Mus musculus: one gene and its partners. The protein of the gene in region 1 interacts with the protein of each later gene in a biochemical or structural test. Links are inferred from orthologs where the notes say so. Each region holds a gene or a part of one and is shown on either strand. Other genes may lie near its edges.

Evidence for each region. The genes of interacting proteins can lie anywhere in the genome.
Region 2: the proteins of Tnrc6b (region 1) and Ago2 form a complex in vitro, tested with the Homo sapiens proteins (3 studies listed by BioGRID and IntAct, with this or other methods). The link is inferred for Mus musculus from reciprocal best matches to the Homo sapiens genes TNRC6B and AGO2.
Region 3: the proteins of Tnrc6b (region 1) and Ago1 form a complex in vitro, tested with the Homo sapiens proteins (2 studies listed by BioGRID and IntAct). The link is inferred for Mus musculus from reciprocal best matches to the Homo sapiens genes TNRC6B and AGO1.

Annotation. Positions count from the first base shown.
Region 1 is NC_000081.6:80,885,813-80,889,312, forward strand, and holds part of Tnrc6b (trinucleotide repeat-containing gene 6B protein), read left to right. Parts: intron 1-1,146; coding exon 1,147-1,221; intron 1,222-2,017; coding exon 2,018-2,063; intron 2,064-3,206; coding exon 3,207-3,343; intron 3,344-3,500.
Region 2 is NC_000081.6:73,118,948-73,122,447, reverse strand, and holds part of Ago2 (protein argonaute-2), read left to right. Parts: intron 1-1,199; coding exon 1,200-1,384; intron 1,385-2,951; coding exon 2,952-3,111; intron 3,112-3,500.
Region 3 is NC_000070.6:126,437,584-126,441,083, reverse strand, and holds part of Ago1 (protein argonaute-1), read left to right. Parts: intron 1-618; coding exon 619-720; intron 721-1,042; coding exon 1,043-1,242; intron 1,243-1,472; coding exon 1,473-1,581; coding exon of another isoform or gene 1,582-1,695; 3' UTR 1,696-3,500.

The DNA of each region.
Region 1 (3,500 bases):
GTAGACCAGGCTGGCCTCGAACTCAGAAATCCACCTGTCTCTGCCTCCCGAGTGCTGGGATTAAAGGTGTGCGCCACCACACCCAGCCTAGGACTTTTTTTAATGTGATAAAATACACAAAATGTAAAAATTGTCATCTTAACCATTTTTCAATATGCAGGTCAGTGCCACTGAGTGTGCTCACATGCAGTTTGTTTTCTTCTAACGCTGAAAGCTCTGCACTAATAAACTCACTATCTCTCATGCTTGCCAGGACTCTTCTTTAATCTTAATAAAATATATATCTATCACCATAATATATAATTAATTATTAATTTATATATTATATAATTAAAAGGTTATTTATAATTATATATTGTATCTAACATGATATAATATGCAATGTTGTAATATATAGATATATTTGTATATAAGTATATAATATTATATACACTTATTTATGGAGCAAGCTGGTTGTGGTGGCTCATATCTGTAATCACAACCCTCGAAGACAAAAGGCAAAAGGATCAAGAGTTCAAGATATTCTAGGCTTTAGTGAGTGAGGACATCCTGTCTCAACTAACACCAACAATAATAATAAGTATGACATATCATAGCACATGGAATGTTTACCTATAGAATGTGCAGGCCCACAAAGCTCATCCCCCATCCCATTAATCCCTGCCTTCCACTGTGCCAGAGCTCAAGGATAGTGGCTTCCTCCAGGCCTCTTTCTCACTGAGAACTGATGGCCTCCATGCTGTGAACCATATGAAGAGCTCTCTGGATGCATTCCACATTGCCCCCACACAGAGTGATGTTGTGTTCAAACAGGCTCCTTTCCAAACAACATGCACCAGTAGCAATTCTTTCCCTGTTACAAGCCTGCTGGGGTCACAGAAGAGCATCCTACGGGAGGTGGCAGTGGCAGTATGTAGACATCTTACACAGTCTGATACCACTTCTTTGCATGTAAAAAGTAAACTTTGTTTTTCCACTTCACTATGATAAGTAGGAGTAAAAGCATGACTGGACCTAGGGCTTACTAGTCATTTAAAGCTATCAGGTTCAGGAAGGTGAACTCTCAGCTTTGCATTTTCAGTGTGGTTTATAGTTTGGGAGGTTGTGATGAGCTCTGTGACTGAGGTCATGTGTTTCATTCTGTAGTGCTCACTAAAAGGAGGAAACAATGATTCATGGATGAATCCTCTTGCCAAACAGTTTTCAAATATGGGATTGCTGGTAAGTTTCATTTTTCTTCATGTATAAACATAATCTCAAATTTCAGGCATAGTAAGTACACATGTACAGTACAAAATTACAGATTTAAATATGGGTTAAACAGTGTTCTTGGCCCTCTGAGCTAAACAGTATTTCTATTTTATTAAGTGATATATACCAACATTAAAAGTGAATTGTCTTTGTATCTTTTCTCTTGGAAAGGTGGAAACAACAAAGACACTTAAATGGACACTTGTTACTAGTGTCTGCACATCATTTTTAAAAATAAAAATAATCAGAATCACTATACTGGGATTCATTATGTAGAGAAAAATGTGTGCTGTGTCTTTACTTTCCTTATCTCTTGGGAACACTGTGAAGACATCTGGTCATGGTTGTCAAAAGACAAATGATTTGACTACACAGTTTAAGATTTGCTCACTGACACGTCATAAGAAGATATTATCACCATTTAGCTACAACTTGTGGAGTTTGACTATGCATACTTAAGAAGCAGTTTATTTCTCCAGGCAGCTGTTGAACTTGTCCTCTGTCCATAGCTGTACTGATGTTGCTTACATGTGTAATTGACATGTGTAATTACATGTGTTAGACACTTAATTAAGCCTTGATGGCCATCAAATTGTGATTGCAAAAATGTTACAGCCTTCACTCCAGTTTCAAGGTCACGGCAGAGGCTCTTGTGGAGTGCCTATGGTCATGAGGCTCTCACATGAGCAGGAGCGCCTCTTCTCTGATGTACAACGTGTATCCTCCCTTAATCCTTACTCACTTGTGTTTGCTTTGTTTTGTTCAGAGTCAAACTGAGGATAACCCAAGCAGCAAAATGGATTTGTCTGTAGGTATGTGTCTCTACAAACAGGAGGGGAACGTGTTCACGGCTCTGCCAGGCCCTTGGCATCTCCTGCCCTGCTTGGGTTGAGGCAGATTGATAGACATGCTTGATGCTAACTGCTTTATTTTATATCAGATTTCATGCACTAAAGCAGTATAGAGGTTGAAAATTCAAATGACTGAAGTTCCAGGAGAATGTGAAGGAATGTTAAATGCTAGGTTTAACTGTGAGGAGGGTATGTCCACCTCAGAAGCCAACCTTATTCTACTACATGAAAAGTGCAAACTTCACTGCACCATCCCTTATTAGCATCCAGATTTTTTTCCCAAGTACTGGGAGCTAGATTCAGATTATTTTAATATGTCTGTGATACTAGTAAACTAGACCATCAGATTGACTCTCTGTACCCCAAGGTTTTCATCTTTGTCATACTTTTCCGTTGTGACCAGAGCAAATGCAGGGGTCAGCCCATCGTCTGTGAGATTTTTCTCAGGAATGCTTTTGCTCACCCCGAGGAACATAAGAGGAATCAAACTAAGAGTAAGAGGGAACAATCTGGATAGCAGTGGTACTGTGTAGTTTGAGCTGCAACCCAGTTGTGTCATCATATAGCAGATTTATAGGGCTAAGGAAAGGGAGGAGGAGGAAGTCTGCATCACACATGCAGATGAAGCTTGAGCAAGTACTGTAGAAATGTTCAACTGTGTTAAAGTCTTAAGCTTTACATTTTTAGGCAACAGGAGTGCCTCTGATCTTTCTATTCCCCATAATTGCTTTAAAACTCTAACAATGTCTCTAACAAGTGCTAACATAACAAAACAGACTGGTCTCTCACTGAGAAGATTTGACTTTATGAACAAGATGTATTCTCACCCAGCACGTCAATTTTAACCTAAATATTGGCTTAATCAATTTGGCTTCAAGTCTCTCAAGTGTTCCATGGTAGACAAGCTACAGCAGATACATATTTAATTTTTGAAAAACGGTTCAGGAACAGAGCAAGCACCCTGAGCCAGTGAGAATTCTTCCTAGGCTCATTCCAAAGAGTAGAGAGGCTTTGTCCCCGGGTCCCTAGAGAACAGACGGGCCAGGCTACACGTGGCTCTTGAGGGGACATTGATTCCTGACATTTTTATTTATGTCCTTTCAGATAAGAAATTTGATGTGGACAAGAGAACAATGAATCTCGGGGATTTTAATGATATCATGAGGAAGGATCGACCTGGGTTCCGTCCACCTAATTCCAAAGACTTGGGAACCACAGACAGTGGGCCTTATTTTGAGAAGGTGAGTTGAATGCTTTGTTTCAAATAGTCGTTTATGAGAGTCACTGTGTTCTTAATTTGTCTGTGGTAGCAGCTAATTCTAGAGAAAGCATAAACTTACAAACTCAGAGTAAAACATGAATATCCCCTATATTAATGTGGTGACAGGAAAGTAACTG
Region 2 (3,500 bases), about 7.8 Mb from region 1:
CAAAGCCTGTAAAGTCTAGCTGTAACCTTACCATCTCAGCCAGAGGCTCTTTGGTGAGGCTGCCACCCAGCACTGGTGGTAGTGTTGGCCTGTGCTTCTGACAGAATGAGCCACGAGCCCAGAGAAAAGGAAGCCAGTAGCAGACACTGGGTGCTGACCAATTCCTGCCCATCTTCTATCCTTGGTATCTCTGTCCCCAGACACACCCCACCTGTTGGTGGTGTGATTGCAGGTGCACAACCATGAATTCTGTAAATGTAGCACAGGGGAGGTGACTGCTGGCCCACTAGGCTGAAGCTAAATGTCCCCACCTTGGCTGCTGATCGATGTTTTTGCTCTGAACGTAGCCGGTCTTCTCAGCTACCTGAGTCTGGTTTGGCAGTCCAAGCGCCGGATTTGCTTGACTGCCACCTGTTCTCTTTTCTTCTGGGTCTGTGTTTCCGAGACTACACCCACCAGAGCAGCAGGGAAGGAAAACCCACAGGCAGCTGATGGTGTTCTTTATTTTGCTTAGTTGGCCTGCATGGCACAAAAGAACCATACTGTGTCACTACAGAAAGGCAGCAAGCATGCTTTTTTTTTGGGGGGGGGGGGTTCGAGATAGGGTCTCTATATAGCCCTGGCTGTCCTAGAACTCACTCTGTAGACCAGGCTGGCCTCAAACTCAGAGATCTGCCTGCCTCTGCCTCCCAAGTGCTGGGATTAAAGGCGTGCGCCACTACTAACCTAGCACAAGCATGCATATTATATCTGCCATTTTATCCCATCGATGACCCCTGTGCCTTCCATGGTTGTATGGTGTACTCACCCCATTCATGGGCTGATATGCCTTTGACTTTATCTGAGATTAGATTCTAGCATACCATGGTACCTAACCCTAGGCCCCAGAGGGCGAGGCAGTAGAATTCTGAGTTTGAGGCCAGCCTGGGCTACCGAAAGCAAATAAAAAACTTAATTCTTTTTTGTTGTTGTTGTTTTCTTTTGTTTAGACAGAATCTTATGTGTCCCAGGCTAGCCTCAAACTCAATGTGTAGTCATGAATGACCTTAACTGTAGACCCTCCTGCCTCTCCCAAATGCTGAGATTGCGTGCATGCTAGGCAAGATCTTTGACCTTGTTAAACTGTACTCGGAGACCCTGGTTGATATGACCTCCTTACCATGTATTATACATCTTAGCAAAGTGGCCTTTTCCCTCAGGTCCTTCACAGAGCAACTGAGGAAGATCTCGAGAGATGCTGGGATGCCGATCCAGGGTCAGCCCTGCTTCTGTAAATACGCACAGGGTGCAGACAGTGTGGAGCCCATGTTCCGACACCTGAAGAACACATACGCTGGCCTCCAGCTGGTGGTGGTCATCCTGCCTGGCAAAACTCCTGTGTATGGTAGGTGTTGGCCCCCTGCAGGCTTCAGGGGGCGAGGAGGTCCCAGTGGCCCTGAGTGGCCTGGAACAGTCCCCTTTGTGCTGACTGAGCTGAATGGTTGGTTCTTGCCCATTCCTGAACCTGAGAAGGGGAGAGGGAGGTGGGTTACTCTCATATACGTTTGGTCCATCATCATCTTCTTGAGTGAGGCCACAACCCCATGTATCAAGCAACTCCCAGTGACCCATAGTTGCAGATAGTCTCTGCAATTGTGCAATGTTTGGAATTTTAGGAACTTTTCAGAGGGTGTATACATGACTGGTCCCCTCTGTGTTGACACCAACACCCCCAAGAGAGGGTGTTAGTAGTTGTTAGTCATTCAGGGAGGTTGGTTGCATTTTATTAGTAATCATGGACAATAAAGAAAAGGAAATAAATGGGATTCAGGGATCTCTCCCACCTCTATCTTCCTTTTTCTCCTATCTACTAATGAGTGAAACTAGTAAATAAAAGGGCAGGAAAAAGAGGAACCCACAAAGTAGCAAAGGCCAGCTACAGCCCATAATTTGACTTGACGGTTGGTTTCATGTTCATGCTGTGGCATGAGTGTTGGCAGGTGGAAGAGAGTGCCCTGATAGGTCAGTGTTCCCCGAGGAGGCCCCACTGGCTCTTGGTTCCCTAGGATTCAGTCAGTCTGGTCTCTGCCACCACCCCACATAAGGGTGGGTTTCTTAATGTTAGAGGGTAGTTGTTCCTTCATCAGTGGAGAGCCCAGTGATGCTGAAGAAGAGGGAATGGATTAGGTACAGCCTTCTGTTCAGGGGGGGTAGTAGGGGGGGTGGGCAGGGAGGCTATATGGACAGATCTGCAAGGTGAGAGCTGTCTGCCCCATAGGCTTTTTCAGCAAAAGGGTGTTGGTGTGAGATCTATACAGGGGTCAAGGAAAGCAACTGGGCTTCCTGATGGTTGTGATAGTAGGGGTCTGTCCTATCTAACCACAGGCAGACCACAGACCCATGGCATGGTCTTTCCCTCTCAGTTCAAAGAAGGCTTTCTCATGGCAGTGGTGTTTAGGTGAGATGAGTGTTGTCCCTAGAGTCCGCGTTTCTAGAACAGTCCTAAGAGCAGTGACCAGCTGCTTCAGGAATGAATGTGGGGATGGACAAGTGTGGATCCCCACGGCACTTTGATGTTCTGTGTTTGCCAAGGGTTTTGACAAGACCGGTGGTTTTATTTTTAGCCACGTAGGCATTTGCTTAACATGAGGTGTCATTTCTGCTGAGGAATGCTGAAGCCTTAGTTATAGCTGGCTTCTGCTTGCCACGCCCTGGCCCAGGATCACAAATGGCTGGTATGAGATGTGCTTCCCGGTTCCTGTCCTGAGGGAGACAGGCACAGGTGCCTGGCAGTGCTAAAGCAGGATTCCGCCAGGAGCCCTGCCCCTCTGTCTGCCAGCATCTTCCCTAGGCTGACTGCAGGCGCCTAACGCAGCTGCTGTGGCTGAACACTGCACCGGTGCAGTCCAAAAGGGTGCAGAAGACAGCTGCTTCTATTTGGGAGTTGTGACATGTGCGCCTCTGCTCCACAGCGGAAGTCAAGCGTGTGGGAGACACAGTGCTGGGGATGGCCACACAGTGCGTCCAGATGAAGAACGTGCAGAGGACCACGCCACAGACCCTATCCAATCTCTGCTTAAAGATCAATGTCAAACTGGGAGGCGTCAACAACATCCTGCTGCCACAGGGCAGGTGAGGTGGCCACACCCCATGCATACACCAGCTGGCTTAAATGGTCAGTGGAGAGGTGCTCACTGGTAGTTTATGTGGGCATAAGTCCTGGGCTCCTCAGAACCAGGGGCATCAGGGATGAGTGACTGTTAGGGCTGGAGTCCCTAACAGTTGAAGGCTGGTATGGGGCTGTTGTCACCCTGCTCCTTGTGCCAGGGCCAGCAGTCTCCACTGAAGAGTTGGGAGAGTGAGTGGCCTCGGGACAGGTCAGGAATGGGCTTCCACAGACTTGGCAGCGGGTCCCTGGAGCTTTACTGCAGTGTAGACTCCAGTGTTTTCTACTCTGCTTACTTGGGGCTGGGAGCTTACTGCTAGGATCAAAGCTAAAGCACTTGGGGCTGGAAAGTCCT
Region 3 (3,500 bases), on another chromosome or scaffold:
CCCTGTGTGTCCTCCCTGGCTGTTTCCCCTGGCTTTGTGGCCCGTCCTCCACCACTTCTCCTCCCTCCCTCCTCCTTCTCTCCTCTCTCACTCCTCCCTCCCTCCTCCTTCTCTCCTCTCTCACTCCTCCCTCCCTCCTCCTTCTCTCCTCTCTCCCTCCTCCCTCCGTCCTCTTTCCCTCCTCCCTCCTTCCTCTTTCCCTCCTCTTTCCCTCCTCCCTCCCTCATACTTCCTCTCCTCCTGGCTCTCTGGTCTAGACCCCTTATATAGACCAGCTCCCAGAGAAGGGAAAGGGAACTACCATTTATTGAACTTCTCCTATGTGCCACACACTAACTGTTCAAGGAGTCTCCTCACAGCAGCTCTGTGAAGTAGGTACTATTGATCTCTCCGTTTAACTTAAGAAAGGTTAAATGGCTTGATAGACTCACACAACTAGTAAATGGCGAAACCAGGATTCAAAAACTTGACTTTAGAAGCCCACTATTTCAAGACTTAGTTCCCTCAGAGAATAAACTTCTTTGTTCTTGATTTCTGGGAGAGTAAGAGTAGAATCCAGTAAAGGTGCCAGGCAGGGCCAGGCAGGTCTTGGGATCTTGGTTGTGTTTGTCTCTCCAGATTGGGAAGAGTGGTAACATCCCAGCAGGGACCACTGTGGACACCAACATCACCCACCCATTTGAGTTCGACTTCTATCTGTGCAGCCATGCAGGCATCCAGGTAGGTGGCATCTCCTGGGGTTTTTATTGGGTTAAGAATTAGTTGGTTATTCCTACTGCATTTAGAATGTTTGTTGTAGTTGAGTATATAAAATGACCATTAGCTAGCCCCAAGTGTACTTGTAGATTGCTTTATAATATTTGATTTTGTGTATTATTCCTCTTATGGGTGGTGGGGTATGGTCATGCAACCTAAACATATTCTTAATTAGAAGTGGGTTTTTTTGTTTGTTTTTTGTTGTTATTGTTTGCTTGTTTTTATTTTTTGTCAGCAGGCATCCACTCTGTCCAATTAGGGCCCACTTACCATCTTTTTTACCTAGGGTACCAGCCGACCATCCCATTATTATGTCCTTTGGGATGACAACCGTTTCACAGCAGATGAACTCCAGATCTTGACATACCAGCTGTGCCACACTTACGTACGATGCACACGTTCTGTCTCTATCCCAGCACCTGCCTACTATGCTCGCTTGGTGGCTTTCCGGGCACGATACCACCTGGTGGACAAGGAACATGACAGGTAAAGGCTAGCTGTTTGCTTTTTCCTTCCATTTTTGTACCAACCCTTTGGACTTTTTGTTGATAGAAGGAAGTGGATGCTATCCAATTTGAGACCCTTGGCTTCTCTACCTAAACATGAGTCGGTGTTTTCTCTTAATTTGGTATCTGAATTGGCACTGTAGGCATGGGTGAGGGATTAGCAGCAGTTCAGTTCACCAGGAAAGACTTTTTTATATGTTTTCTTTTCAGTGGAGAGGGGAGCCACATATCAGGGCAAAGCAATGGGCGAGACCCCCAGGCCCTGGCCAAAGCTGTGCAGGTTCACCAGGATACTCTACGCACCATGTACTTCGCTTGAAGGCAGAACGCTGTTACCTCACTGGATAGAAGAAAGCTTTCCAAGCCCTGGGAGCTGTACCACCCAAATCCAGAGGAAGCAAGGCAGAGGGAGGTGGGGTCGGAAGGAGTATAGGAGGCCTTGTTTCTATCTACAGAGGGGGTATAAGGGTGGGAAGAGGACCAGCAAGACAGACTACCAGCCAGAAATCACTGATAGCAACCTCATTGTCCTCAACCCCTCTCCCCATCTTGTCATATCCGACCCCCTTGGACCAAAAGGGGCATCACTAGTACCCACCATACACACAGTTGTCTCATGTGACTCACAGTGCTAAAGACTCATGCTCAACAGCCTGCTAGGGTCAGCTCTGCAGCCCTGTGGTCAAATGCTGGTATGTTTGGGTTTGCTATTCTAGATGAGAAAGTGGGTGGGAAGAGGGCAGGAATTTTTAGGAGCCTTAATCAGAAAAGGTCTAGATTTGTTTAAGAAAAAGGAAAACAGACTCAGATCAATATTTTAGGATACTAGATGTTTTCATGGGTTCAGAATCCACTTTGTAGGAAGATTTTTAATGCTAATGGTTTGGGTTGCTCCTCCCCAGCTGCCATCCCCTCCCATCATTCCTCTCCACATTCTCTACCCCATGCACCTTTTCCCTGACAGACATCCAGCCCTCGTAACACTTAAGGCACTATGGCACTTAGCTCTGAGGTGACATGACCCTGTCTTCCTTCCGCCTGCTGGTGGGTAACCAGTGCCTTCCCGCAACGGTAATGCTGCAGAACTGCAACCTTTTGTACCTTTCTCTGTGGGGTGGGGTGTGGGTGGGAAAGGAGGGAGGGAGGGAGGGCAGAAATAGCCCAATGCCAGCGAGCCTCCAGCCAGAATGCCAGCTAATTTTCATTTGAAGGAATTGACTTCCATAATCATTGAGCTTTTAAAAAAAGGTCACAACCTCAAGATGGTTAAAATCCATTGACATTTGCACTTTCAGACGTGACAAGTCTCCGAGCTGCTGAGATGACTGGCCCTTGGCCTTTCCCCTTTAGCTTCCTCTTTTCCCTGGCCCCACCACCACCCTGCCAGATCTAGAGTTACTGTCATAGTATTTCTCATTCTTGGCTTTTTTACCCCTGATGGTAAAGTCTCGTTTCAATATTTCTTAACTGGGGTGTCTTACAGCAGAAGATCGTAAGGACTAAAATAAGAAAACAAAAAATCTAAAGGTTATTTTTATACCATAACTTGAGTCTATTGCCAAAATCTGGAAATTCCCTCCCATACCTGATGAGTCTGCATTCCAGAAACATGGAGCCGTAAGAGGGAACTGTGGAACTGACTTGTGTTCTGGCCTAGCTAAGTAGGGGGTGGTTGTCTCCCCAAGGTGGGGCTCAGCCTCTGTCCTTCCTCTGTGCAGACAAAGCCTTGTTCTCGAGACAGCCTCCCTCCAGGGCGCTGTCCTGCCCTCTTCCCTGTAAGTGCATCTTCCCCTTTTCTGGACTGGACTGTCCTTTGATCCCTGACTAACCGAGACTCTAGCACGTCCTCTGGACAGGCTGGGGAATTTTGCTGCTCCCATTTGCTTCTGTTTACACAAATGAAATTTTCCTGTTTCTCACTAGGGCATGTGAGTGGGTGGCATGGGCTTTTCTTTTTCTACCCCTCTCTTGAGGTTCTGGGGTTCAGCTAGCTGTCTTGCAGGACTGGAAAAGAAGTGGGTTCTAGCTTTGTCTTTGCTGACCTTGAAGCAAGGCCCCCTCTTTCCTTGACCATTCTTTTTTCTTCCTGCATTATTGCTTGGGATGGGAAATTTGAACCTCCGTGTACAGGTTCCCCTTCTGAGGAGCCTGAGCTTAGGATTGCCCTACTCTGGCGATGAAGCCATGATATGTTAGCTCTAGCCCAGGCTTAGAGGCCCGCTGGAGAAAGGAAGATCT